5 linked regions of the Oryzias latipes genome follow. The protein of the gene in region 5 purifies or fractionates together with the protein of the main gene of each other region. This does not show direct contact. Links are inferred from orthologs where the notes say so. Each region holds a gene or a part of one and is shown on either strand. Other genes may lie near its edges.

The links.
Region 1: the proteins of ubxn7 (region 5) and cul2 purify together in Homo sapiens (affinity purification with mass spectrometry; 6 studies listed by BioGRID and IntAct, with this or other methods). This does not show direct contact. The link is inferred for Oryzias latipes from reciprocal best matches to the Homo sapiens genes UBXN7 and CUL2.
Region 2: the proteins of ubxn7 (region 5) and topors purify together in Homo sapiens (affinity purification with mass spectrometry; 4 studies listed by BioGRID and IntAct, with this or other methods). This does not show direct contact. The link is inferred for Oryzias latipes from reciprocal best matches to the Homo sapiens genes UBXN7 and TOPORS.
Region 3: the proteins of ubxn7 (region 5) and ufd1 purify together in Homo sapiens (affinity purification with mass spectrometry; 3 studies listed by BioGRID and IntAct, with this or other methods). This does not show direct contact. The link is inferred for Oryzias latipes from reciprocal best matches to the Homo sapiens genes UBXN7 and UFD1.
Region 4: the proteins of ubxn7 (region 5) and klhdc3 purify together in Homo sapiens (affinity purification with mass spectrometry; 3 studies listed by BioGRID and IntAct, with this or other methods). This does not show direct contact. The link is inferred for Oryzias latipes from reciprocal best matches to the Homo sapiens genes UBXN7 and KLHDC3.

The regions. Positions count from the first base shown.
Region 1 is NC_019878.2:9,091,220-9,097,601, reverse strand, and holds the start of cul2 (cullin-2), read left to right. Parts: upstream 1-2,352; 5' UTR 2,353-2,477; intron 2,478-3,913; 5' UTR 3,914-3,935; coding exon 3,936-4,054; intron 4,055-4,851; coding exon 4,852-4,954; intron 4,955-5,049; coding exon 5,050-5,144; intron 5,145-6,382.
Region 2 is NC_019859.2:15,572,214-15,576,906, reverse strand, and holds the end of topors (E3 ubiquitin-protein ligase Topors), read right to left. Parts: intron 4,252-4,693; 5' UTR 4,249-4,251; coding exon 1,885-4,248; 3' UTR 1,708-1,884; downstream 1-1,707. Other genes in the region: mtap (S-methyl-5'-thioadenosine phosphorylase), read right to left, coding at 1,111-1,134. UniProt on the Homo sapiens protein: Functions as an E3 ubiquitin-protein ligase and as an E3 SUMO1-protein ligase. Probable tumor suppressor involved in cell growth, cell proliferation and apoptosis that regulates p53/TP53 stability through ubiquitin-dependent degradation.
Region 3 is NC_019867.2:6,261,740-6,268,034, reverse strand, and holds ufd1 (ubiquitin recognition factor in ER-associated degradation protein 1), read left to right. Parts: upstream 1-2,441; 5' UTR 2,442-2,593; coding exon 2,594-2,596; intron 2,597-2,819; coding exon 2,820-2,952; intron 2,953-3,497; coding exon 3,498-3,530; intron 3,531-3,614; coding exon 3,615-3,736; intron 3,737-4,447; coding exon 4,448-4,578; intron 4,579-4,659; coding exon 4,660-4,732; intron 4,733-4,806; coding exon 4,807-4,875; intron 4,876-4,957; coding exon 4,958-5,026; intron 5,027-5,094; coding exon 5,095-5,145; intron 5,146-5,225; coding exon 5,226-5,314; intron 5,315-5,690; coding exon 5,691-5,775; intron 5,776-5,870; coding exon 5,871-5,945; 3' UTR 5,946-6,072; downstream 6,073-6,295. Other genes in the region: probable ATP-dependent RNA helicase DHX37, read left to right, coding at 157-230, 769-866, 952-1,028. UniProt on the Homo sapiens protein: Essential component of the ubiquitin-dependent proteolytic pathway which degrades ubiquitin fusion proteins.
Region 4 is NC_019873.2:28,677,981-28,683,668, reverse strand, and holds part of klhdc3 (kelch domain-containing protein 3), read right to left. Parts: intron 4,488-5,688; coding exon 4,274-4,487; intron 4,189-4,273; coding exon 4,102-4,188; intron 2,265-4,101; coding exon 2,156-2,264; intron 1-2,155. UniProt on the Homo sapiens protein: Substrate-recognition component of a Cul2-RING (CRL2) E3 ubiquitin-protein ligase complex of the DesCEND (destruction via C-end degrons) pathway, which recognizes a C-degron located at the extreme C terminus of target proteins, leading to their ubiquitination and degradation.
Region 5 is NC_019875.2:24,818,790-24,824,477, reverse strand, and holds the end of ubxn7 (UBX domain-containing protein 7), read right to left. Parts: intron 5,533-5,688; coding exon 5,402-5,532; intron 5,132-5,401; coding exon 4,669-5,131; intron 3,692-4,668; coding exon 3,612-3,691; intron 2,587-3,611; coding exon 2,425-2,586; 3' UTR 270-2,424; downstream 1-269. UniProt on the Homo sapiens protein: Ubiquitin-binding adapter that links a subset of NEDD8-associated cullin ring ligases (CRLs) to the segregase VCP/p97, to regulate turnover of their ubiquitination substrates.

The sequences.
Region 1 (6,382 bases), on a different chromosome or scaffold from region 5:
TGCCTGAGATATGTGAGCATTAAATGATAAATCCTGGTCAAATAGAACCCCTAGGTTTCAAACTGTGGAGTTGGAGGCTAAACTCACACCATCCAGAGAGACTATCTGAGCAGACAGAGCATCTCTGAGGATTTTAGGACTTAGTATAATGACCTCAGGCTTTTGTGGGTTCAGAAAGGAGGTAATCAATTGTCATCCAGGTCTTGATGTCTCTGATGTAGGCATTCAGTTTCTCTCCTAGATTAGAATACTTGTACTTGATTAATAATAATTAAAAAAGATTAGCTCCCAGTCGCATTTCCCAACAGTTTTGCCTCCTTTATCTGTACTGTTTAAAGAATGGATCACTCCACGTTCACAAAAAATTATGTTTTCTTCAACAACAGCTTCCCCCATCTGAATTACAGCGACATAAAATAAAAAATGGCGGTTAAGTTCAACTCTGTGTTATTTAGATACTTTGCCATTACAGACAATAACGATCTTGACGAACCGTAATATCATGAAAACCACACAGATTGGAATCCTCCTCACTGTTTGATCTATTTTTTTTTTTTTTAATGGCAGTAAGTAAAGACTAGAACTGAGGACATTTTACTCTGAGGAGACGCTTCCGGGCTACTGCAGCTAAATTATGCATTAATAACACCTCTGTATAATGTAATAATATAATATAGTTAATTGATTTCTTGTTAATTGGCGTCATTCTTGTAAACTAGGGAGTGAACTGCTCCCATGCAAAACTGAAGAATGAGAGTGGTTATAAAATTCAAAATAAATGTTGTTTAAACATTTGTTTAAACAAAAGAAATGAGAGATTTGCACAATGTTGCATGAAATAGTCTATATAAATGTATGTATTTAATACAATCCACATGGATTACAGGAAAATATTTTTAGATGTTTTTAGGAGAGATTAAGGATATATATATTTGTATTGCTGTTACTGTCACAAAACAAATAAAAAAATCACATTTGACAACAAATAACTTTAAGAGAAAACAGCAGGGGTTACCTGTCTGAACTGGACCAACTGGCGTGTTTGTGGCTCCTACAATTAAAAATTGTGGGTTGTTTGTAAATGGCTGGTTATCTGTAACGCCCTGAAGATCCGAAGGGGAAAAGTCGAGATGGGAATCAAAACACAGCCCTGAAAGACCAAGGAAAACACAAACCAGTGGGTGTGGAGGTGGTCATGTTAACCACTATCGACATGTTTACCTGCATTACTGTTGTTAGTTTGCAGGTAAGAAGGAATCAAACTGGGAGAAGCTGGAGCTTATTGTGACTGATCACTCTCTTCTGTATTTAGCTGCATCACCCTGGAAGTCATTCTATGGAAAACAAGACTGTATTTGTATAAAAGAAAAATGAAGATTTATATAAAGGAGCATCTGATCCTCCTTTTTGTAAAATAACAGCTTCCTTCTTTAAGCAAGCAAAAAAAAAATACTCTTGTAAGGAATTCAAAATATACCTCAAGTTTTTGGTAAAAGCTAAAAACAACTTCTTCTGGTTGAATATTTTCCATTTTTTTCTAACAAAGCAGAGCAAAACAAAACAAAAAAATTGCAAATTTATAGTTAAAAATGTTTTGATTAACAAAAATTTGTGTCCAAAATGCATTAATTTTACCAGCTATGATATATTTCTTCAAACAAGCACTAAAACTAACTTTAGCTAATCAGGGATGTAGTAAATAAAGAACAACACTGTAAGTACTAATAGTCAGTTATGACATTTGAACGTTTTTTTTTAACTAATTGATTCAATACACAGTCTGACCTTCAACAAAAATAAAGAAACATTTGGGATTTAGTTTGAAGTAGCAGGCAGTCAGGATGTATTCAAATTTAAGCGGCATATTCTTATGGTGGTGGAAGCCAAACAATGCATGTTTTCAAAGCAAAAAAAGGGAGAGTGAAAATTTGTAATAAAAGAAATCACAGAAAATTTACCAAAGAGATTAAAGAACGTGCAAAGCCAAGCTACTTTGGCACAAGTAGCTTCTGGAAAAACCTTTACTTATTTAAAAGTGAGGCAAATATGAAGTGTTTATTTTTTGTATTTATCAATTAATTTAATTTGTATTAAACACAAATGGAATAAATGCACATTTCCCCTCAAAAAAAATAGAGCATATAAAAACAGAATACACCGGTGTTTGAAAAATTCGATTCCTTAAGGTTTCCGTAGTTTTGGGCGATACCATTTTTTGGTTGGGGTTTTTCTTTTAACGTTGCCGCGCTTTAGTTAATGTAAAGCTTATATCTATGATCTGTTGTTAATGAATTTATATTAGATACAATTCAGACAAATTACTGTTTCCTAAAATTCATACAAAGTATAAACACTTGTCTGTAACGTTCACCTAAGTCAAGTGGTATATTCCTAGTGGTTGGGAAGACCTGTGAGTCAAATCAGTACTGTGACAGCGGAGAAACCGGAGTTTTTAAACAAGTAATTACTGAATTAAGGTTAGTTGTAAAGTCTTTGCTTATAATAAGTAATCAGATTTTTTCAACATCAGCGCCACGCTTTGCCGTAATGTCAAGGTTTACGTAGGGAAACTTCTTGTATGACAATTTGCTAACTATAGCTGAGCAATCGTTAGCCGCCAGCTAGCTGGCTAATTGCTAGCTTTTGCCTTAAAATTGCCTTCAGTTGAACAGGAAGAAGTGACATGCTAACGCGCAGTAAGCTAGCATTTTAGCTCAACATCCTATTTTTGGATTGGCATTCCGCTAGCTTGTACCTTTTTTTTTTTAGCTAGGTTCAACAAACATGTCAGAGGGATGCTAAAATGGAGAGACAGCATTCGGTAGCATAATTGTAGTCACAATAAATATTGACGTGGTTTTTCAAGACAAATGTTGAGATGTTTAATGTTGCGTTATAGCAATTGAAATGAATGACGACAAACATGAAAGAACACATACAGGGCCTTCTTTCTCCCACTTGACGTAATAATTACAACTGCTTGCATTAATTTGAACGTTGATAGATTTTTTATGAAGTGTTTCGCTGCTGCTCAGAGGTTTTCTCTTTACTTTTCTCCAAAATATTTAGCTGTTAGCCTCTTCTTGTTGAACAGAATGATTATCAGACATAATAGTGCTATGGAGTGTTGTTTCCATGATCAAAAGAATTGTTTTAAAAATGTCCTTGTTACTATGTTTTATTTGGTAAAGATGTTCAAATCGTGTTATTGGTTTAATTTCCCAGGTGCTGTTTTGAAATCCTCGTATACTTTTGTTTTGTATTTGATGATGCTTCCTTCTTCTTCTTTTTTTTTACTATCAGTTTCTTTTTTGTCATACAGCCTTTATTTTGGTGACTGTGCTGTCAAAACAAACATTTAGAGACCCACTCCAGTAAAAATTGTGTTTGGTGTTTATAACATGTTCTTGTGGCGTTTTTCTGATGGTGGAGGACATAATATAAAGAAAATTGAACCTAAGACTGCATTTCAGAGTATTTTTTAAATTCAAATTGTTGTGAGTCAGGAGCAGATGAAAAACTGCTGTCTGAAAAAGATCGTATTTGTGACGTAGAAGCTACAGTGACCGGGCCACAAGCTCCCTGCTCCATTCCATTCTGATGCATTCATGTACGTCTCTGTTTTCCTCGTCTCAGCTGGAATCTGGCTCAAAACTGTACAGCTGGATTGCTCCAATATTGCTTCCCATTTTTGTTGCATTGGTAATGTTGGGCTTGGTGTGTGAGGGGTTGTACGAGAGTGGGAGAGTAGATGGGTGATGGAAAGTGGGGCGGACTGCTCTGCAGAAAGTATGGCCTAGAAAATGAAAGTTTTTTTTTTTTTAATTTTTTGGACTTAAAAGCTGCATAATCATAGTTAAAGGAATGGGACTTTAACATCTTTCAATATTTCCTGTTCTTTTCTTCTTTTCAGTCAGGCTGAAGGAAAAACTACAATGTCCTTAAAGCCGCGGGTGGTGGACTTTGATGAAACATGGAACAAGTTACTGACGACAATCAAGGCTGTTGTGATGCTCGACTATGTTGAAAGAGCCACCTGGAATGACAGATTCTCGTATCCTTTTAAAGATTTTTTTTTTTTTAAAGATTGTAGGCAATTTATAGCGGTGGTCCCAACCTCCAGGCCAGTCCGTGGGAGAGAGAAAAAAACACGACCTACATTTTTTCCCATTTTCTTTATCATCTGATTTTGAAAGAAGTTTTATTTGGGAAAAGTCCTCGACTCTCTTCACCACATTCCACTCATTCTTGATGCATGTTAAGTTGCTCGATCACGTTTAAAAAACCATCCTCTACTTTCTTAAAGCTGCTGCTCCGACCGTTAAATTGAGACCCCCAGGCTGGCAAAGTTCATTAAAAAAAACACATATGGAAAGTTTGTTTCAGTAGAAAAAAGTTTTAGGGACCAATGTCTTATTTATTCATTTATTTTTTATATTTGTGGAACCCTAAAAGTCTGACGAGGCTGAAGTTGGCATCAGATTTTTTGGCCTCTACTTTGACAGTTATGGGTTACGGGAAAATCTATATCCCTTTTTAATGGTTCCTACTTGAAATCTAGTGTACAAATAAAGTTTAGAGAAGTGGCAAATATTTCACAGAGGATGAAGATCGACTTTACCCTCAAAAGTTAAGGAAAACCTTTAGCTAAAAAAACAAATCGGACGGCCACTTGAACCTCGTTTCTTGTCTGACATTAAACCGGCCCATGGCCTGAAAAAGGTGCGGACCACTGTTTTATAGGGTAGATGGGTTCTTCATCTTTTTCTAAATACAGATTAGCTATTGTTGAGATAAATGTGTCTGAAAAAAGATGTTTTCTTGGTTTGTGATCCTGACCTCAGACACCAGCGACATTTATGCCTTATGTGTTGCATACCCAGAACCCCTGGGGGAAAGATTATACACGGAGACCAAAATTTTTCTTGAAAATCATGTCCGACAGTTATACAAGGTAAGCCTTTCACGCTCTTGCGGGAGAAAAAAAAGAAGTGCTTCTTCCCCCATAAGTTCTTGCTTTTTAGTAATAATATCTGAATGTACTTCTAGAAAGTTCTGGAGTCGGAGGAAAAGGTTTTAGTGATGTACCACAGATACTGGGAGGAATACAGCAAAGGCGCTGACTACATGGACTGCTTGTACAGGTAACTGTATTTTTTGACATCTACCAGCATGCAACAGGGTAGGGCTGGAGGACACTGCTACATTACTGAATCCATCCAGAATATATTCAGCTGTTAGATCTATTTATTTATTTTATTTCTATCCAAAACCAATTTAGTTAAGTTAGGGAAACCTGTTTTTACCAAAAAAAACTGTTCATTTGGAATACGGTGGAATTTTAATTCATGTTCATTGTAACATAAATAAAGGAAAGAATTTTTCAGACACAAAATATTGAAACAAAGAAGTTCTTTAAAGGGAAATCCAGAGGTATTGGATCCATCTTTTGTTTATTTAAACTCCCTTACAGCACTATAATAATTGATCCTTTGTAAATTATTTTCATTTTTAAAGGATAAATATTTAATGAAATGCCAGACACTGATTTTTATTGCTTTTTATACATTTAAATATCATTTGTACTATATGTGATATAGTGGCTTCTCACTATATCACAGTTCATCTTTTCCAGCCCTTTTTCTGTTTGTTGGTGCACTGTGTTCTGTGTCCTGATTGGCTGTAGACCCTGTCAGTCAATCTCCTCTGTGCCGTGTCTCCTGTATAGAATGGGATCAGCTTGATAGATGGATGTATATCTTCAATCCCAATCAGATCTTTGTTTTCATTCCATAATCCTGGACTCATTTTTATACGAAGGTTTGAACTTTGAGAGTTTAAATAAGAGAGAAAAGGGTGAAAATATTCATATCTGTCTGAGAAAAGTGTATCAAATGTGTAGTTAGGAGTTTTACAGCCTTTAAACATCTAAAATATTGTACTAAACAGACATGACTACTTCACTGATTTCACCTATCGTGGATTATTTTTAGAGTTACTTCTGAGGGAACACTGTATACTAAAAATCAATCAATATTCTGCCATTTTATACTAATAATTACACTGCCTGCATGACTTGTATTGTTATTTATACTACTATATTTATAAAGATCGCTAATCAGGGATGCCAGACAACTAAAAATTCGCATTTGATTTTTCTGCATTCAGATACTTCTTCCATCCTTAATCTTTAGTAAATGATTTTAATTCTCGAGTCTCATGTTTAAACTAATACTTCACCAGACACTAATTCTAACTATTTCAAATATCATCTTGCAAATTCTAATATGCTCACAGATGTTTTCTGTTCTTAACTGTATGGTTTTCTGATGTGTATTTATTCCCCTTACCTCTGCCCTTGCACTTAAATGACTTCATAGCG
Region 2 (4,693 bases), on a different chromosome or scaffold from region 5:
GCGTTTAGTGCTTCATCTGCAGATCTGAGCTGAAAGCTGCAAGCAACAAAAACTGTTCTTTTCTATTATTTTGGGCATAAAGTTAGGATATCTATAATCTAGCATTTGTTTATAAATGCAATGCAAAATAAGAGGTTTTTTTTTTTTTTTAGGTACACCAACCTAAAATATGCCCAAAAGGTCAATCGTCTCAGCCTTTTTTAGCTTGTTCAATTTAATTTTAAGGCAAAAATGACCTTGATTCAAGTCAGACATTTTCTTTATTACTAAAATTATTTAAGAAATGCTAAAGTACAACAGATATGAGAATCTAACAGACCTAAAAAAAAAAAAAAGTGAAAAAAAATTAAATTGGATTTTGTGCCGATTATGTGACCGCTGCTAAAGTTTCATTACACAAACATTATTTTATTTTTTCTTCCCTTATCCCTATTAAGTGTTACTCCTTTCATGTGTTCTTCAAAATTAGAAATCCATATTTCTTCAAATCTGTTATATCTGTAGGCAGGCGTGACTAACTTGTATTGTTAGTCCAGAATAAAAAGAAATCCAAAATCACAATGTAAGTTTCCATCAATGTGACCTAGGTGAAGTGAAGATTTGAGTGACAGCTGTTTTAATGATTAACTATCATAAAATAAGTAGCATGAAAGAAAATAATACGATGTAAAAAAAAACATTTGTTACCGTAAAGTGCAATAATGCTCCATTAGATGATTACTGTAGTCTAGTTAAGTCTCCAAACATTAACTAATGAGTTGGAATTGGAAGTAAAGCCGGCTGACAGCCGACTAGCAAGAGGTCAAGAAGAAGCTGCAGCATGTAAGCTGTCCGGCAACGCGTCGTTAGCTTGTAGTTGACATTTTTATGCTCATATATATGATCCGTGCCATACATATATTAGCACATTTTGAAACTCCTGAAGGCTTGGGTATAATTCAAGCCTTTCACATTTACTTTTCCCAGCATGCTAACACACCAGCCTGTCCCTGCATTTCCGGGTTTGTAACCTCTGTTGTCGTTCTGGTTCCTAGCAGTGGTTTAAAGCAGCAAATGTTTTATTTGTTTTGTTTTTAAATAACACTACCACCGTTTTAAACAGAGTACTACCTTAACGTGAACCGTAGACGCCATGACAACGCCTCTGGGATGAAGAGTGGGATTTGACCAAAAGGGAATGCGCTGAACCGTTAACGCTCGTAATCAAAATATTTGAAAAAAAAAAAAAAAGACGGCCATCAAACATTTCTCTTCCCGGTCACCAGATTTTCAAAATAAAAGTCCTACAGTCAATGGGCAAAAGTTGAACTTAAATTGTTGATTGCGATTGCGGTTTTCTGCCTCCATGGGGCGCTGGTTTTTTCAAGGACATCATATTTTTTGTTTTTATATTCTGTCAAATAAGTTTGATTTTTTTTGTTATCTAACTTCTGTTTTTAATAGAGTTATGGCAACGTGATAATTTCACCTTTGTAGAATCAATACAGTTTTATTCTATTCTTTGTTTTACATAAATAAAAAAATATCCATCAGATTTTAGATCATTGTTGGTGAAGCTGCAAATCACAATAATCCAGAAATCATCATATTTTAGGCATAAAATATCAAATATGCATGAATATTAATAAAGATTGTATATGCATGTCTTTTCAATTCAACCTACTCTGGGTTAAACTACACAGAAATAATATCACAAATATTCAAACATCCATTGTTAATGACTAGATTTTATTCTTAAAATTGAATACAAAAGTCCATACTTCAACAGCACAGTAGATAAGGAGCTTTTAAGGCAGAATTATTTATGCATTAAAGAATACTCTTTTCTTGAGATACTGGCATCTGTGTTGAAGTTAGATAGAACCATATAAATATGCCAGGTGGTTAATCGATAGAGTCAGAGTCTACTGGATTGACAGCAGAACCACCTGTGTCTTTTTCCTCATCTGTGCTTAACACCTGCATGTTTTTAGCTGAAGACTCATTTTTGCTCCCCATGACGATGACGGAGGGTAAGTAGGTATTTTTGTGCTCATCACTCCTTTGCCGTCTACTTTTCTTCTTGTGTTTCTTCTTCTTTTTATGGTGTTTTCTTTGCTCTTTTGACTCTAAGCTGCTGCTGTTCTTTCTCTGCCTTTCTTTGGATTTTTTATGACGCCTCTCTTTAGCTTTTTTCTTGTGTGCAGTTGACACAGAGTCCTCGTCTTCATCCTGGCTGTGGTGCCTTTGTGTGGATGGGTCCTCTAAGTGTCTTGTTTTGTATTTTCTCTTCCCGCCAGGCTTGTCGCAGTATGTCTTTCTTCTCGACGAAGGGGAGCAGCTGCTGAAGGAAGTCCTGGATGGAGACCTGGTCCCGTCCCGTCCCCTTGTCCCCCTGCTGGGGCTCCCGGAGCGAGATCGAACGTGCTTCCCAGAGTACTTGTAGCTGCTGTGATGGTTGGCCTGCTTACGTGTGCAATCTGTCTCATGTCTGTGATGGCTATATGTCTGATTGTAGTAATAACTGCCTCTATCCTTATACCTCCTGTCACGTTTGGAAAAGTCTTTGCTAATGTAAGAGTAACTCCCGTCGATGGACTGACTCTGTGAGGCGTCTGGACTTCTGCTTGATTGTCTATGCTCTCCGCTTTTTGACCGTCTCTGCCTTCTGTGCTCTTTATCCTTTGACCTGTACCTTTCCCTTGGCTGCTTCTCACTGCAGTGTCTTCGGTCTGTCTCTTTATTGTGAGACTCTTTGGATGTTTTACATCTGCTTGATTTCGATGAGCCGCACTCCTCGTTTGACTTGGGATATTGATAGTTTCTCTGGTTTTCTGTTCGTCTGGAGCCGCTGCATTCACTCCTCAGTGAAGCTGCTGGACTACAACTGGGGAAACGAATGTGTTTAGGTTGGAGAGCCGCAGCTTTGGCGTCTTCACCGAAAGACTCATCAGAATCAGAGGACAGCTGAACCAGCTCGGGAGTCCTTTCTTTTGTTGGCTTAACAAATCCTATGATAACACAGTCATCACTGTCAGAAGACAGACAATCTTCATCATTACAGTTCTCCTGAGTCATGTCTATTTGGTTTCTTGGACTCACTCGCTGTTGAGGAGCCCTAAACTCTTGAACGCCCCCGTCTGAACTGCTTTCAGAGTCCGAGTCATGGACCGACAGATGACTTATCCTTCCTGGATCTGCTGTTGTTGAATACGATGGACCAGGAGTCTCATCATCCCACACAGACTGACTCAGAGAAGAAGTAGATCCTCCTGGTTGTTCTATCTCTACAAGGTTCTCCTCTTCTTCTGAGATGGCAATAACGGACGAGTTGGAGTTGCTGTCTTCGTTGGAGGAGGGGGCCGGACAGTCATAAACTGCGTGCTGGTCGTACCCCTCCATGTTGAAGGGGGACTTGGCGAAACTGATGAATTCGTGCAGGAAGTGCTCGGTTCGAGCCTGGAGGAACGGCCTCAGCTCTTCCTGAATCGCGCCGTCTTCCATATCGTAGCGTGTGATGCGTGACATGATGATATGTTGAACTATGTTGACCAAAGAGCCATGAGCTCCATACAGCACGGTGAGTTCTCTTTTTAACCAGGGCACCAATCTATGCAGGCAGGCGGGGTTTCTGCGGTAGAACTCGGCGGAGGTGTCCCGAGAGCGGCCGCCGTCTCGAACGTTGCGAACCCTGACACCCTGTCTGTACAGCTCCCTTCGGAAATTTACCATCTCTTGCTCTCTGACATTGTTCACCGTCCTGCCTTCGCTCTCGGCTCTCCTTCTGGCTGCCAACCGCGCCATCATGCGCCGAATGTAGCGATCTTGCCGCTGAAAGGGAGGATGCGCCGAAGCTTCAAACATCACCCCGTTATCCGGAGGCGGAGAGGTTCTTCCTCGCATCTGCCGATGGACACCGGTAAGAGTGGTGCGGTACCTGAACCTCACTCCCTCGAAATACCCAAAAGAGGAGTTCTCCACTTGCTGCTTCAGTTCATACTTTTGAAAGTCTTGCTCGGATTTTATACTGTGATAGATTGTATTGAACGGCTGTTTGCAGAGTGGACACTCGGCTTTGTTCTTGGACCACTCAAGAATGCAGCGAAAGCAGAACTTGTGCAGGCAACGATCCAAGTAAGAAACGTTGTGAAAACCGTCCAAACAGATGGGACACTTGGAGTCGGGAGACACTTCCACAGACATCGCTTCAGAGGTTTTTCTCCTGCCGTTTTTCTGAGCGTGCTGCAGGGCGACCTTGACAGCCGACATGATCTGGAAAAAAAATGAAGAAAAAAAATTCAAATAGAGGTCAACCTTATAAAATTTCTTATGATCTTATCAGTATAGTCCTTTTTTTATTTATGCAGGGGAATTTAAGAGGAGACTTAAACACATTTTGAAAAAAGATGTGAAATCACTAAATGCTGAAAACATTCACTTGGCTTCATGCAGAGACTACTAGTCAAGAAATTGGCAGTGAACAAATTAAATCTAAATAAAGCATTTGCTTTTGTTTTTTATGCACAAGTTAACATTTGTTAGCATGTGTGCTCACATAGTTTCTCAGTTTTCAATCTTAGGGATGACTAAGGCTGAGTATCACTGCAAAAAAACTAAATGAATCACTAAATCATTTTCGAAGAAAAGTTCAATTCAATCATTTTGGTTTTGTTAAACTTAGTCCTAAAAATATTGAGCAAACAGATTAGAGCTG
Region 3 (6,295 bases), on a different chromosome or scaffold from region 5:
GTACAGCATATTATTGCATAGTTTTGCATATTATTTTATATTGGAGTGGACGCATTTGTATTTTTAGCTTCTGTTTGGAAAAGAACGATGTCTATACAAACTGCAGAAGAACTGATTTTTAGAAAAAAAACAACAACATTGTTTTGCTTTTAACAGGTTAGTCCCAAACTGAAGAAACACTGTGATTATCTTCTTTCCAACCACTCCATCATGTTGAAAACGTGGGCAAAGTAAGTTAGGCCTCTAATTTAGGACTATTCCTCTATCTTTTTTCTACTAAATCACCCGGCCTTAAAGGAAGAATACAGTGGTCTCTGGCTAAATCGGCGTTCAGCTTTTACTGGTTGGCAGATTTTTTAGTGCATTTTGACATGTTTTTACTAAGTACACTGTTCTGTGTCCTTATTGGCTGTTGATCTCTTTTGTGCAGTGTCTCCTGTACAGAGTGCGTTCAGTTTTGAAACTTCACATAAATTGCCAGCAGATCTTTTATTTATTTATTTTTTTTAGGTTTGAGCTTTACACAATTATCTATGATAATTATCTATGATAATTGTAAAAGGATAAAACGTTTACCTATCATGGGTTAGATGTGTCCCTTGCTTTATGTAGCACAGCAAAGTATGTCTGATATGCATGCACCCTTTCAGGAACCAAGATCCCATTTAAAAAAAATAAAAATCTCTGAGTTATTTATTTATGATTGATGCAGGTTAAGAAAAAATGAAGGACAAACAAATGTGCTGACAGTGTTTATCTTTGTTGCAGATTGCAACCCAGAACAGAAGCTTTACTGGGCCCTTTGGTGTCAAAGAAGGTCGACTGCAGGGATGCTCTCCTTTCCATCTGGAAGACTGACGATAAATGTTAGACTTTAATGTTTGGTTGCTTCTGGTTTTATTAATCCTATTTTCTTATTGTGGCTCATCTTTTGTTTTTTTCTTTCTACAGTTCTGTTGTCTGCCTACTGTCAGTGGTTACCTGAATCTGTTCACCAGGAAGTTGCAAATACTTGGCCTCCTGCATAGATACAAACGTCAGACGAGCAAAGAACAACATGAATGAACGCCTGTTGATTGACGTCTGTAAGATCTATTTCCCTCAACTTCTGTAGTCTTTCAAAGAGAAACTCCTAAACAAAGACGGCAACCTTTGTCTTTTTTGTATTTTCTTAACATCCAAAATAATTTTCATCTTGTTTTCTGTTGTGACTGTTTTTAACTCTGTGCTGCTAACATTTAGCTGTATCAAAGACTTGTAAAAAATGTACGCATCTGAATGCAAATAAAACTATTATACCTTTGAAATTGTGTCACATATTTTTATTCTTTGGAAAATAGTAATGCTCCTTAAATATGATTCAAATCAAATGTATGATATTTACAAACAAAAAGAAATCCCATGCCGTTTTACTGTAGATGAGGCTGTTAGTGAACATTTATCAAAAGTATCATTTTTAGGTTTATTGGTGAAAAAGTAAAAAACATCACTCATGTAAAATATAAAATGTCAAAAAATCCGTTTTGTTCCAAAAGGTAAGAAAGAAAAGGGATTAAAGAAATCATACAAGCATGTGAAAAAACTATTTGTAGATAAAATAAAATAAAAAAAACATTAAATCATTAAACATCTTTTTTTTTGGAACAAAAAGGGATTTAAATATTTTAGATTTAGACTTATGTTATTGTTATAAATGTTTCTTTTTCGTTAATATTATAGTTTTTTTCGTTGTCATTATTATCGATCAATTTGTTATTATCACTGAAACTTTATGATAAAATTTGCCCCAAAGCGGTGACCTTTGACCTCCGTGGTGGGAAAAACGAAAGCTTTGTTTGGAAATGATCTAGATTGGCGAGAGTATCAAAGATTCACGAGAAGACCCTAGTTAAGAAGTTTTTGTACACGGCCACTCCTTTCTGGGTCTTTCCAACCGTACAAGTAGATTTTTATCTCCAAATGAAGATGGAGGTTAGAAAAAGGAAGGGAAACTGGGATGAAATTGCAGCAGACAGTTTGGATACAGTTCATTCCCATTTACACAAGTGGATCTACAGAACACAAAAAACAAAGAGGACTGTTTTTTCTTTCTGTATCTCTAATTTAAAAAAAAATGTCGGAATAAGGATGTCGAAGGATCTTTCGGTTTTTGTAGTTGAAATGTTAGGAATATTACACTGATTAGAACACAGTAGAATCAGTGATGGTGTAATTGGCTCAGTTATTATCAGCATTGATGTCTTTATAATATTTTTCTTCCGATAGTAGGTCAAATGGAGTAGTTATTGGTTTTGGAGGAGAACTGGACAGTTGAGGAGAATAAAGTTTTTTTTGTTTGTTTTTAATGGAACAATTAGGTTGTCCCCCACTCAAATTCCCCCTCCAACACAGTAGGTAGCGGTATTGCACCTTTTCATTTGTGTCTCCCGTCACTTAAATTACAAGAAGAAGAATTGTCGTCATATCCGCCTGTCAGCTTGTACACTTCCGGGAAAGAAAGAAAGACAACATCGAATACTCCGTGAACAAACAAAAAGACCTAAAATACATTGCTTTTACGGGTTTTAGTTCCTCTAAGACCTCATTTGTCATTATGGTAAGTGATGTTTACATTTACATACTGCTGACGACATGTTTCTATTAAAATAAACCGGATTTTAACCGGCTAGGCTAACTGGCAGCTAACAACAACATTACCTCAGAGCAGAAAGATGCTCTGTCACGATGAAAACAGAGTTGCACATGCCGGCTTTATTCTTGTGAAACGATCTGAAGTGCGGTTTGAAAATGACTTTCATGTGGTATGCACTCTTCCATAGTTTTCCTTCCATGTTTTTGACCCCCCAATGGGCCGGGGCTTTCCGAACCGCTTCTCCACTCAGTACCGGTGCTACTCGGTGTCCATGCTGGCGGGACCCAACGACCGCTCCGACGTGGAGAAAGGAGGCAAAAGTTGGTATAATTTCATCTAGAGAAAAGTCAAAGAAAGTCAAAAAATAGTGAACCATGAGTTTTAAGGGTGAAACTAAAGTTGAAGTTGTTTACCTACTCAAAACCAAACGGTAAATAACTTATATTAACGAGAAACGACTATCCTCTTTATGTTTATTTTATTAATTTATTTATTGCTTCTGGCACAAAATCTACAGATAACTGTCAATTGATTTATTTAAAAGCATATTTTATCAACTTCTTCTCAAACTAACGGATTTAATAGATACATTCATCTAATTCATACATTTTAAATAGTGCTATACCTTTTAAAATATTACATCTTAAAACAGTTCCTTAAAAACACATTGTTTTTATAGAAAATATTAATTTGAATGTTTAAATTTGGATACGATTTTACTTTAATTTGGATATGAATGATCTTTTTTTTATATAAAACCTGACTAAAGACATTATATTTTACATTTTTATTTAAATATGAAAACAAAGATTTCAATAACAACTGTTCAGTAACCAGAGAAAATCTGTTTTTCCGCTTTCACCAGTAATCATGCCACCTTCTGCTCTTGACCAGCTCAGTAAGTACAAGTATTTCTTTTTCTTCTTTCTCTTTCATAAACCCTTCACTAGAAAGGACCCTCTTCCTTTTTTGTTCTGTGAAGGCAGGCTCAACATCACGTACCCGATGCTGTTCAAGCTGACCAACAAAAACTCGGACAGAATGACACATTGTGGTGTTCTGGAGTTTGTAGCAGATGAGGGGATCTGCTACCTACCACACTGGGTGAGACACAGTAAATAGTTTGATGATTTAAAAAACAAACTGAAAAGCTGAAGATTTTTTTTCACATGGAGGTAAGATAGCCCTTTACCAGACCGCTAACCTGTTCAGGGTGGACCCTGCCTTCGCCCAACAAAAGCCAAGTTAGGCTCCAGCAACCTCATGTCATGAACCTGAAAAGGATTCGGCGTAATCTGAAGATGGGTGGATTTAATCCATCCACACATTTTCTTATTCTGCTGTGTCCCTGTAAGGGTTACGGGATTGCCAGAGTCTATCCTGGCTGCTGTGGGCGAAGGCAAGGTACACCTCAGACAGGTCACCAGCCGGTCACCAGCCGGTCACAGAGCAACAATAACACAATTTAGAGTAATCAGTCAACCCATGATGCATGTTTTTGGACTGTGGGAGGAAGCTTGAGTGCCCGGAGAAAAAGATGCAAACTCCACACAGAATGTACCCACCTGGGATTTGATGGGTGGATTTAAAACACTGCCAAACTAACAGCATCAATAGAAATAAAAGTAGTAAAAAAAAATAATTGTTTATGCAAAATGTACACAAATAAATCAAAGTTTGAGTGTGACAGCATGGTTTTATTGTCTTAAAAAAATCACAATTTTTTTGTTTTTGTTTAAGCTACTAAAGTCAGGGCAGCACTATGCTTCTTTTGTCTGTCTTGTTTCCTGACTTTTTAAAAATGTATTTATGTAGATGATGCAAAATCTCCTGCTGGAAGAAGGTGGTTTGGTTCAGGTGGAAAGTGTCAATCTCATGGTGGCCACTTATTCAAAGTTCCAACCTCAAAGTCCTGATTTTCTGGACATCACAAACCCCAAGGCAGTGTAAGAGCAATGGACATCTATGTGCCCTTTATGCATATAAAGTTTGGTAAGCGGAATTCCTGAGCTGTCACTTTATCACAGGCTGGAGAACGCACTGAGGAACTTTGCATGCTTGACAACTGGTGATGTTATTGCTATCAACTACAATGAAAAGGTAATTCATTTTATTTTGAAGGATATTTTCCTTTCAATAGTGCACACATTCTATAAAGCCTGTGTTTGCTTTAGATCTATGAGCTGCGAGTGATGGAGACCAAGCCAGATAAAGCTGTGTCCATCATTGAATGTGATATGAATGTGAGACTCTCTTTATTATTCTAGACAACATTAAACCTTTACATTATTTGCTATTTGAGTTTTATTTTGCTCCTCTGTTTAGGTTGACTTTGATGCACCTCTGGGTTACAAAGAACCTGAGCGGCGATCTCAGAACCAGGATGAACCCACGGTAAGGACTGAGCCTTAAGCAGTGAGTGAGATAAGTCATTAAAGGTTTAGTAAAAAACATTTCTGTAGGAGGAAGAGCCAGACCCAAGCAGTTATGCTGACATGGACCTCGGATTCAGAGTGAGTATGTTCCAACTAATAATGACCCAAAAGACAAATGAAAGCAATAAAATACTTTTCTTGATTTTATTTTTCGTTAGGCTTTTACTGGTTCTGGCAATCGTCTGGACGGTAAAACAAAAGGGATTGAGCCTAACCCTGTTCCTCTAGCAGCAAGTGACATTAAAAGGTGGTTTTGCATTTAAACTCTTCACAGTTGCATCTTTTTGTGTTTGTGTCAACTTTGTTGCATTTTAAGGTCCCTGCTTAGTAAATCATTTTTTTAATTAGTTTGATTTTTTTTTTCTTTTTCTTTTCTGCATATGGGACAGAATTTTGAGACAAAGTTTTGCATCTGGAATTAAAACTAAAAGTAAAAAAATTTTCATCTATTGTTGGCCTCATAAGTCAACTTACAGTCCTTGTTTGATCACATGTGCAGAGCCTGTTAGCAAGATTTTAAATAAATTGTGTAATAGTGATTAAAAGCTGTTGAGAACATCTCAATCTAATTACTGATTTTTTTTAATTCAATGTCCATTTTCATTTCAATCTTTTCATGACAGAGGAATTCCCAATTATGATTTCAAAGTTGGCAAAATCACTTTCATTAGAAACTCCCGACCTCAGCCCAGGAGAGTTGTCGATGATGTAAGTAGTTGATAGTTTTTCTATATATGTAATAAGATGTGCTTCCAAAATTAATTTACTTTTTTTTTTACTAATTTTTAATCTTTCTTCTCCAGGATGATGCCCTGAACAAGTTCATTGCCTTCTCTGGAGAGGGACAGTCACTACGCAAGAAAGGCAGAAAGCCTTAGAGCTGCAAGTGGAGAGTCAGGCCTATGTGACGTCTATTGTAGAGCTTTTATGTAGAATTTTGATTATATTTTTTGATTGAAATTCTCATATTCTCATTTGCTCAAATAAAGCAAAATTGCATTCTGGTTCTTGGGGTTTTTTCTGGTGATGTGAGTGAGGACAGTAGAAATTTGTCAGGAAATGCTTTATCACCAACACAGAAAATTATTATTAGAAAACAATTGGAAAGTTTTGTCATAATAATGTTACACTTTGAACATCCAGTGTTTTTTTTAAAATATCATTTTCCTTTTTTTTTAACAGTACACTTTGTTGCTAATATAATAGAGCATACATTTACTTTAGCTTT
Region 4 (5,688 bases), on a different chromosome or scaffold from region 5:
ATCTATTATTATTGATTAACAGTTAACTGTTTTATCTAGGTTATAGTTGCCCAATTATTATGTAATTGTTCAAGTAGAAGTTCACTGTTTAGTGTTCAATGATAAAAAAATAATAAAATGAAAATAGGGGAAAACCTGGATCTGTTTATTAAACTTGTTCATTTCAAACTTTGATTCAGTGAAGAAAAAGAAACATTTCGTCAAATATAACATTCATTTTGCAGCAAAAACAAACTTCTAGAACTGGTTTTCTTGTGAATATACCTTTAGTTAATGTTTAACTGCGCAAGATTCTTTAAAAACTAAACAAACAAATCCAGCGTCAGGCTCTGAAACAGGATGCAGGAGAAACAGTTTGATTTTTTTCTTGCTGTCCTCTTCATCACATTAACAACACTCCCCTTCAGCATCTTTGCTCTCTGCTCCCAACAGGAAATCATGACTCTTTAAAGCCCATCCTGAGAAACTCCACAATGAATAACACAAGTACATGTCATCTGCTTTCTTTTACAGCTTTTCTCCTTTATTCTCCTACAGCCATAAGAAAATCTGACTCTCTCTCAGGAATCAAAGAAAAACTATGGAGTTTGGTTGGATCGGTGTCATGGAGGATGCCAGGAGACAGAAGCAGCTCTTTATCTGCAGCTTTCTGATGAACCATCAGGTTCTCCCTGATAACAGCAGTTCTGTTGATAACAGCAGCTCAGGACTTAACTTTAGATCATGCCAACACTGGAGGCTACCACATTACTCCACCGGCTACCGGCCTCTTCATCCACAGCAAAGCGGCGCCTAACCAGCCGCTGCCTCCAGCCTATCACTGCTGTCCAACAGCCAACAAAGGGGGGGGGTCCTCGCAGACCGCCGTCTGCGGCGGCCAGAGCGCAAAGACCGGCTGAGGATCATAAATGCTGCAAGATCGATTTTCAGAATCCTGTGTCACTTTTATGTATAAAGAAATGGAATTTACTGTCCATAAAGGATGGATGCAGAAAGATCTTATGAAAGGATTTCTCCTTCGGTCTCTGGTGTTTTCAGCCACCCGGCTGGGCAGAAATTCATTCTCTGAAGAAAAGTCGCAGCATTTCAACGAGGATCATGTCTGGAGTTTGACAAATGATTTTGTTTTTCAGTTGCAGACTGGAGAGCTGAATAAATGCGCCTAACTCGGTTTGTGTGGGGCCAGAAAACCTGGAACCTGATCAGGTGAGCGGCTGGGACGTCCGCTGAGCGGAGAATGAAGACTTCATCCTCATCAATAGATGGAATGAGGCCGAAAAACAACAGAATAAAAACACCCTCTGTTTTATAAAGGAGGTGACACTTGCTAATAAAGAGTTCATCGATTTCATTTGATCAGAAGCACGAGGCCGCCACTTCCTGTGTCAACTCCTACGGGGCCATGGGGGGGTGGGGGCTCACTTTTCACACTCTCTTTGCATGTTGGCTTTGTAAATGTTGTTTTTTAGGAAATAATGACTGACGCGCTGTGCTATGATTTGACTCTGATTTTCCTAATCGTATAACCGGGCCTCGCATTCAAATGTAATTTTAAATTAAGAAAAAAACCTTTATTAGTCCTGCAAGGGGAAGAAATTAGCTGCAGCAGATCGTTGCAGTCAATAAAGTAATAAAAGTCGGCGTAGAGAGCCTTTGAACTGGCAGCAGGGAGAAACGACCTCTGCCCCCTCAGTCCGGTCCGGTCTGCTCTCAAACCCATGATGCTTTCCACAACATTAAGCAGAAAGTTCAACGCTGAATTTGGAATGTGAGCATGTTTCTGAAAATGCTTTTCAAATGGAACCAAAGCAGATTTTTGAATCTGTAACAACTGAACGCTTTGGCCAAAGATTTTGTGTTTTACCAACTGAAAATGTGTTTTAAAAAGCTCCGTTTTCTAATATACAGCTATTATGAATCCTACAAAATGCAAAACTCTGCATTCTGAGTGTAACTGCTTTGTGTATCTAATAAAAAAATAAATAAATAATGTCAAGAGCGAAAACATACGTTAGGATTAAAAGAGGACAAAAATACATAGATTCAGAATGAACATGATCGTGTAAGAAAGGACTCAAGTAGTAAACCTAAAACCGATTCCTGGTTTTCCTTTGAGCAAAGATTAAGCCCTAAAAGGTCAAATATTAGACTTTACCTGGTTCCTCCAAACAGGATGATTCGATCTCCAACCATACAACAACACTGTCGCCTCCGTGAGCACGGACCTTTGCCTTTCGGCTCGATTTTCTTCCACATGAAGGCCTCTGTGGGGACAGGAGGCAAAAAGAGACGACGCGTGAGCTTTACAGGCAGATCAGCCCTGCATGAAGACAACAGGAGGGCCAAAATGAAACTCCTGAAACCAGAAACCAAGACGCACAGCTCTGTGAGAACGTCCGTTTCACACGCAACTTGACCAAAATGTGATGTCCACACAAGCGGACGCCAGGTCTTAAAATCCCAATGCCAAAGCGTTCCCAGCGGTCTCTTAATTATGATGATGCTGTGTTTAGCAACATGAAAAAACCTGTCGTTTCCCAGGACATAGTCTCTGCAGAGCGGCAGGAGTTCAGTGGAAATTTGCCTCTGGGTTGTGGGCAGTACTGTTGGCGCGGAAATGACCCTCTAACGATGTCCCATCAGTCCCAGATGCCATGAGAAAATCTGCCTGAATGGCCCTAATTTAATGGTTTGGTTCAATTATAAACTCATTTTAAATGTATATATTATTATTAAAAAACTGATAATTGATAAATGCTTTATTTATTGTTATTTCAATCTTATTAAATGTCTTCTTTTGCTCTTAATTGTAAAAATAGTACTTCCATTTTCTCTTTAGGCTGCTGACTTTTGTTCTTTTTTTTCTTTGCTCATTTTCTTTTATTTCTTTTATTTTGTTAGCATATGCTTATATTTTGAAAGCACTTGCTGTTATAACATATTGAATGAAAAATATACTGTTGATTACTTGACTCCAAATCAAGAGGAAGAAACATATTTTATTAAAAAGGAGAGTTCAGACTGAAAAGTGATTTAAGATGCTGTTCCCCTAAAGCTTCATGAACCGAAAGGTGTTTGACACAATTAAAACAAAGTGGAAACTGGGTTGTAAAGATAGAAATATAGGAAAAACCTGGTTTAAGTTTAGTCGAGTCAATTAAAAAAGTCTGACTTGTTGTTTAAAGCATGCAGGGTCAAGTGCCGCCTCAGTTTCAAACTGCTTCTCCTTAGAAACGCAGCGTTATAACTCCAATAGAGGTGCTGCCATCTAGTGGACTGTTGTTGAAACAGCAGATTTATTCAACAGAAACTTATCAATACAAAAATGAAGAGCTGTATAAAAACAAAACCATTAAGAAAACTGAGCATCTTAATGGGAGGATGAACTGTAATGACTATTTTGTTAAACATCAGACCAACTTTGGACAAGAGTTTGTCGACAGCTCCATACAGGCGACATAACAGAACTAGACGGTTTTGTTGCTCTGTAGGAGTGGATTGCGTGTAAATAAATATCGGTGGGTCTGCAGCTTTAGTGTCTCACAAACATTTTAGGTTCAACAAGTGAATAAGGGTTCTTCAGATTCGGAGTGAAAATAATGTCACACCCTACTTGAAGACTCAATCTAATGAAAAATCCTGTTTCTGGTGTTTTTAATCTTGTTCTTGTAGCATTTTTCTAATGATAAAGAAAATTCAGCTTAGAATTGCATTTCTGTGTATTCCTTTATTGAAATCGTTGTGAATCAGGAGCAGATGAAAAAAAGTCACCTGAAAAAGATCATATTTGTTATGTAGAAAAGATGCTGGGCGGGGCCACAAGCTCCCTGCTCCGCCCCTTTCTGATACGTCCACTTATAAACAAATAGATCCACGAACGTCTTTGTTTTCCTCGTCTGAGCTGGACTCTGGATCTAAACTAGACGTCTGGACGGCTACGATGTTGCTGCTGTGAGCGGCTGTAAGCTAGCGGGAGAGCGTGTTAGAAGAGAGCTCACCTATGGATGACGGGAAGGGAAGGTGGGGCTGCTCTAGGCCAAAACATCCCACACGTTCATGCTACGTAACTGAACCAAACGGCTGCTTTTAAAAGTGAATCACCTGGATTGAATTTCCAGAGATCGTTGAAGTGCCGGTCCAGACGGGCGTTGTATCCTCCGAAAATGTAGAGCTCCCCTTTGTAGCAAACTGAACAGAAAGCAGCCAATGATCACGTCATCAACGACACACGCTGGCGCTGGATGTTTCGGAAGAACACGCGTGTGCGTCTTACATGCCGAGTGACTCCTGCGTCCCTCTGGAGAGGGCTGCGTGGTGGGGGTGCTCAGCCAGCAGTTGGTCTCCGTGTCGAACACTTTGATCTTGTTGCAGTAAATCTCATTGTTGGAGTGGAAAGGGCCGAAGCGGTCCGCCCTCCCTCCGAAAACAAACATTTTTGCTCCTATGATGGTGGCTGAGTGGAAGTCTCTCCATCGAGCTGGAGAACCCTGAGAAGAGGCAGAACGTCACGAGAGCGTCAGGTTTCTAAGGAGAACGAACGAAAGGGCATCAACTCAAAAATACAACCCAAATCTGTTCATCCTCCTTTCATGGGACAGTTTCCTACCATCATACACGACTTCACAGCGAGCACAAAAATCCTGTTCTACCCATTGGCATAATAACATCAGGTACACAGCACCCCCTAGTGTACATCTTTAGGAATTTATTATTTCAACTTTCACTAAACTAGGGATGGGGAAACATTCAAAGCTGTTGTTAAAGGTGATTTATTTTGGGGAGAATCTGGGTTCAATTTTCCCAGCATTCCCCTCTCCAGCAAAGAGGAGCTTTTTATTGATTGATTTTTTCCAAAAACAAACATTTTTCTGCGTTTTCTGGAACTGATTCGGCTTTGTGACTTCAGACTTGGAGCATCAAACCAGAATCAAAATCCGCTCGAAGGCCATCGTTACCAAAAGTGGGAGTACGCTGAATTTGTTTCAACAGCAGAAACAGAAACTCTGTCGAGTGTGAGAAATGTGCTCCTCTTCACGAGACGCTCAAGCAGCAGCTCCAAAAACATTTTCACAGCTTTGTATTCAGTTTTAGGTTCAGGCCAACTTCTAAATGAGATGTTAAAATAAAAGTTTTTGTTAAAAAATCCTGTCGTGTGTCATTTTTGTTAAAGACAGTAAAGGGGGGGGGATTCAAATTGGAGATCGAATTTGATGTGGGGGAAAAAAATCAGATTTTTTTTTTGGGGGGGGAGGGGTATATCGTGACTCTACAACTATTTTTTTCCAAACATGAGACGCAAAAACCAGCAGAAAAATGTGAAAATCTTCTGATCTTTAGCCTCCAAAGCCTCATAAGCAGGAAGGCGAGATTCATTTTTTTCATTTTGATTTTGAGCAAAGAACAAAAAAAATCAATTGTTATTATGAACCTAAAAATTCCAATAACTGGGCTTTGAACCCAAACCCTGAAGCAGCTTATTGTTTGAGTCTGTTGCTGAGTTTCATAAGCTGCACCAGAAGGCGGAGCTTCCAGAACAAACCAGTCTGACCTCATTTGTAGAAGTATTTCCAAACGCACAATAATCCACCTCAGGTTTAAGTCCAGCTTTGCTTTGTGCAGGAATTGTTAGACTAGTAGATGCTGTACACTTTTATTCACCGCCACGCCCAAGGACACTCTGGCACAGTT
Region 5 (5,688 bases):
AAAAAGGTTGTTTCTGTTCACGAGGACTTTTTTTTTGTCCTTTACACAAAAAAAAAAAATCAGCTGGTTTGAGAATGTAAACTGCACACATCCTGGGGAGCAAACTTGAGCCATCTATTTGTGCAGCTGTGGGTGTTTTTCTTCATCTCTGACCATTGTCCTGATCTGACTCTCCCAAACATCAGCTGGGCTCCTCTTCTTTAGTGGAATAACAAAGACAACCTGAATAACACAAGTCAAGTGAAAAATCAAACACCAATTACAATAGCTGTAAATCAAATGAGAAGCTTTAATGATCAGTTTTCCCTGTTGGGTTGTGTTTGGTGAAAGAAAAGATCAGATCCTCAAAGTGCTCCTACTGGAATGGCTTCTCTTCTTCTTTAAAGCAATAATATTCACCAAATATATCACCATCAATGATTAAACAATCAGGAGGGGTCTCTCTCTCTGATGGCAGAATGGAAATGATGTGAAACTAAAACCTTTGTGCCTTTTTTGTTTTTAAAGGTTCATTTTGAACTTTTTTCAGAAAAAAAAAACCTTTGTAAGTCTTTTTGTAACCTAAAAAGTATTTTTCTAGTGTTATTTGTTGGTCATGTTTCAATGGTTACTAATCCACATGGATTAGCCAACAGGAGGAGTTTAATTTGACCCGCAATCTCGTGAGTTTTGCAGAAACAGCTCGTCATCGATGTAATGGTCGGAAATGTCATCCTCTACCATATTTCCTGTTCTCATCATAGGATTTTATTTGTTGTTCTTCTGATTGCTTATACATCATTGCTCTTCCTGGTGTTGCCTCTTCTTGCCCATGGTTCAGTAGGGGTGGCGACACAGGGTTAGGGTTGTGCCAACTTTAACCTCTGCACAGACTCTGGGTACAAGTCAGTCGGTGAGACCGTAAGACATACTTTAATTAGCATATTGTTAAAAAAGAAGGGCAGAAGATTCTAGTTTGAGGGCCAACATTGTCCATCTTTTTATAAGAATTCTGACTAATCCTGAATCACGAGGCTGTAAAGACAGATTATAGAGTCTAAACACATCCTCTCAGGGTCCATCCACTTGCAATGGGTGCACTCTTCTAAGAAAAGAATTGCAAGGAAAAAAAAAATAAAGCACCACAAGAATTGCGAGTTTAGCATGACGATTGGAAGCTTGTTGAACCAGACGAGATTTCTGAAAAGCCCAAAGAAAGAGTTCAAACCCTGCACTACTGTCCTTATAAGTCACCTTCTTTTTCGCTGTTGACATTTAAGGCACATTAGCACCACCAGATGACCCAAAGAAAAACTGGAGAGACAAAGAGCTGGTCAAAGCTTACAGTCTTTTGTCTGACTTTGACTTTCACATTTTTTTGGAAGGTTAAGAGCACTAAAACAATGCGTAGAATTCTAACAGAAGTCATAATAGAGTTTTCTTGTATGTAAAATAAATGTATTTAGATAAAAAAAAATTACATTTTATGCTGAATGTGTCCACCTTTTTAGCCATTTCATGCAATATGTCCAGTTAAGTGGTGAATTTAATTCGGGTCAAAAATTCAAATTTTAATCATTCCTTCATTCACAAAACCTAAATTATAAAAAAAAAAAAAAAACAAAGTAAAAAGGATTCTGCTGGTTCTTTTTTTTTTTTTGGTAGTTATATTTCAACATCAGCATTTTGTTGGCAGCATATAGAAAAAGGAAGGAAACAAAGACTATCGCTAAATATTAGTTTTTTTTCTAAGCCGTCTGTACATCGACTGAAGATGCGTACAACCTCCCATTTGTCATTTCTCTGTGTCAAAAATACCAAATACCCCACCCCCCCTTGTATCCTCTGAGCCTTTTTTCCAGGAATGCTCATACCTCCTAAATAATTACAAAAATCTCAACAATTACAGGAAAAAAAAAAGACAAGGACAGATCTCCCTTTACTTGTCCAATGTACAGATATAACAAGAGCTGGAAAATAAACTCTGACCTTTACCGTCCTTTTCTGGAAAGTAAAAGTCCTCGATGGCCTTTCATTAACCAATGAAGTGGTGTTTCAGTTTGGTGTCTTGTTTTTTTTTTTTTTTTTTTTTTACAGGAGACATGTTTGTTTTCAGTCCTGATGTGCCTCAGAGTTCAAAAAGCTGCATCAGAGTAAACCAGATAATATTAAAAAAATAAAGAGTGCTTACATCTGAAACAGTTTACTGGTCGGTTTAAAAGGACTACGAAGAAATCGGGTTTTCAGTGTGATGTCAGTACGGAGACTAGTGGAGTTATGTGCAGAAGTCCATCAGCTGTCCTGTTGAAGACATGGAGGAGAGAGAGAGCCGGGGTCCTCCCGCTTAACTTCCCCAAAAGAAAGTTATTCAGGTGTTGAAGCCAGTATCGTTACCAGAGAACATTGATGACATGGACAAGCTGATGGCCAACATGTCTGGGAGGGCTAGTTCCTCTCCTGCACAAATACAGTCTCCTGTGGACAAAGGCCTGCTTCCTGCAGCGTGATGTCATAGTCCAAGTGGGCGAGCTTCCTTCTAGGAAAGTTGGTGACGAGTTCAAAGCGTTCGTTAGGGTAACCCTTGGACTGGACGTGCCTGACCAGGGCCTAGACAAAAAACAAAACGGTTTAACAGCTGAGCTTTGTTTTACTAGAGTTAATATTTGCTGATATCCAGGAACTGTTCAAAAATAAAAAGGTTTCTGTGATACAGTGGTCCCTCGCTGTTACTCGTTTCACTAGGTTTTCTTTAACAGTATATTGTGTTCTGGATCCTGATTGGCTGTTGACAATCGTCAATCAATCTCTTCTATCTCTTCTGTGTGTCGTCTGCAGTAAAGAATGTGCTCAGCTTGCAGAATTTAGAGACCCACTCCAATGAAAAATGGCATTTTGTAGCTTTTTTCTCATGATGGGGGACATATATGAAGAAAATTAAACTCAAAATTGTATTTTCTGATTATTTATTTTTTTAAACATTGTTAATCAGGACGGGATGGAAAGATGAAGCTGCAAACGGGGCTCATTTGTGACGTAGAAAACAGAACCAGCAGGCCACAAGCTCCCTGGTTCGCTTCATTCTGATGCATCCACTTGTGGACGACTAGATCCATGTACGTCTTCCTCGTCCGAGCTGGTCTCGGGCTCAAAACTGCATGTCCAGATAGCTCCAATATTTATCACTATTTTGGTGGGGCTGTAAACTAGCCCTCAGCAGGGATTGAGGGATTGCTCCATGCCAACAGCCCCGCCCATAACTCAAGGGAAAATTTCTAATGCCCAAACTATGTCCTAGAAAAGGGCACATTTTTGATTTTGGGTAAAAATGGCATAATCAGAATTACCTTTAAAAAAGATTAAAAGATTGTAGTGGGTCTTTCAATAAAACTTCAATCTTTGGCAGATCTTTGGTTTCCTTCTAAAATACGTGTTTCTATGAAGGTTTGAACTTTGAAACAACAGGAAAGTGTAGAAATCTCAATGCCGGGCTGAGAAAAGTGTGTAGTGAGGACTTTTACCATCTTAAAACATCTATAATAACTCTTGCAGGTTATTTTTAGAACGTAACTTGACGATAATCGAGTGACCACTGTGTGTTATTTCAAACAGGGAGAAGTGTCGGATCAACTCACCAAAAGTTTAGCTTTAGAAGACAAAGAAATTTGCTCTCTCTGTCCATCGGGGTAGCGGAGCATCAACCTGGCTTTGGGACCTTCATTAACAGGAAAAAACACAGTTGGTTTCCAAACAGATAACAATTAAAAAAACGACAAAAACACTCAAAAAGGTGTCAAAGGAGTCAGCAAACATCTGTCTCTTCTCCGTTTGACCCCTTCTGTGGTCGTTTTTCCTCTCTGGTTAGTTTTAGTAAACAAGATTGAACCTCTTATAACTAAACCAATGCTTTATTTAGACGTGTTATCATTTGATGAATAATTCATTGTTAAACTATATATATGTGGCGATTCTAATCATGTACATTCTAGGCACAGACAAAAGAAAATTCACTGAATTGAGCTCAAACTTGACAGGGGTAAAAATGGTTTCATCACAGTCGGTTTCTGACTAAATTTTAGTGCATAAAAGCCAAAACATTTGGAAAAATAATAATCCACATTTAAAGTTTGATTGAAGGGAACTTTTCCACTGAAAAGTCAGCAGATTGCTCTAAAACATGCAGAGGAAGCAAGAAAATTGTCAACTGGATTTATTTTTATTTTTTTTTACAAACTACATGAATCATTATTTTGCTATTTTAGTTTTCTGACATGTTAAATAAATTAATGAGTTTAAACTTGTTGCTAAGATTTCTGTTTTATGCATAAAATAAGTCCTTTATTTTTAGTGTAAAATATAACTTCACAGTCGTCAATGTTACAGTGTGATGTAATGATAAAGTAGCTGACAAATAGACAGCTTTACTTAAATTCTGTTTTGTTTTTTAAGATTCCCTGAGAGATTTCTAACATCAGGCTGTTCTTCGGCCGCAGACAGCTGAAGCTGCTACCTGAAGCTCTGCCCTGGTTGGTTGCTGCTTCAGAGCAGTTCTAGACATGTTAGATCTCAGATTATCAAGTTTCAGCACATTCCCGATGGTCAATAGACTGTCTAGCCGTCCTGTTTATTGCTTTTTCTTTAACTGAGCATCAATCTGAAGTGTCTTAGACGATACCATTGTGTTTGTCTCACCATTGTCATCGGGACAGTCCACTTCACAGGCTGTGGTGGTGCTGATCTTGGAAGATGACGCACTTTCCGCTGGGGAGGAACAGTTGTTCCTTCCGGAGTCAGCATCAGGTTGAGGATGACGAACTGGAGCTGAAGGTTCCAGATGGTTCTTTTTGCTCTCCTCCTTTTTGTGACTGTGATTGTTTTCTTTGTACGGGGACTTTCTATAGGAAGAAGTTGAGCTGTCAGGTTGGAGACGTTGCTGGGCCGCTGAGGCAGTGAGGGGCGTGGATGGTTCACTGTCTGAGCCGTCGACAGAGATGGGTCCTTCGCTGTCGGAGAAGGCCTCCTCGTCCGAATCGTCTTCTGATCTCGGGGAGTCTTGGGCCTCAGCGACATTCGAGGACTCATAGTGGGTTTCCTGTAACGAGGCTCGGATCGCTGCCTCCAGCTGGCTGTCTTCACTGGCATCAATTAGACTCTCCTAGCAGAGAAAACAAAGTAAGACATCAACAGAAATGTTTATGAAGCAAACGTACAACATATCGGACTTATTTTGGCTTTAAAATATATATATATATATGTAAAAAATGATGTTTTTAAAGATAAATAATGATGTCTGAGATTATTTCCATTTCAAAACATAGCCAATTAAAACCATCTCAAACAGCATTTTAGGCACAATAACTGAAGCTCAGGGGAGAAGCGTTGATATAATGAGAACCAGAGGTGAAGCAGGAGATGAGAAACCCACAGAGCGAGCTCGTTTGGCAGGTGGTCCATGGCAGGACGGCCCGTCAAGCTGCCCGTGTTCTGCCAGGAAACCAGTGGCCTGCTCCAGAAAAGACGTCACGTCCAGCTGGTTCCACTCCACCATTTTTTGACCTGAATCAAAGTCAGTTTCAACAGAAGCGGTCAGAATTTGCAAGACATTCTATGTAAAAGTGTATAAACAGAGAGGCAGAGACTATTACACAACCATGCGCACAAAATATGTCTTCATCGGCGCATCAAAAATGTTCTCAACAAAAAGTCAAAGCA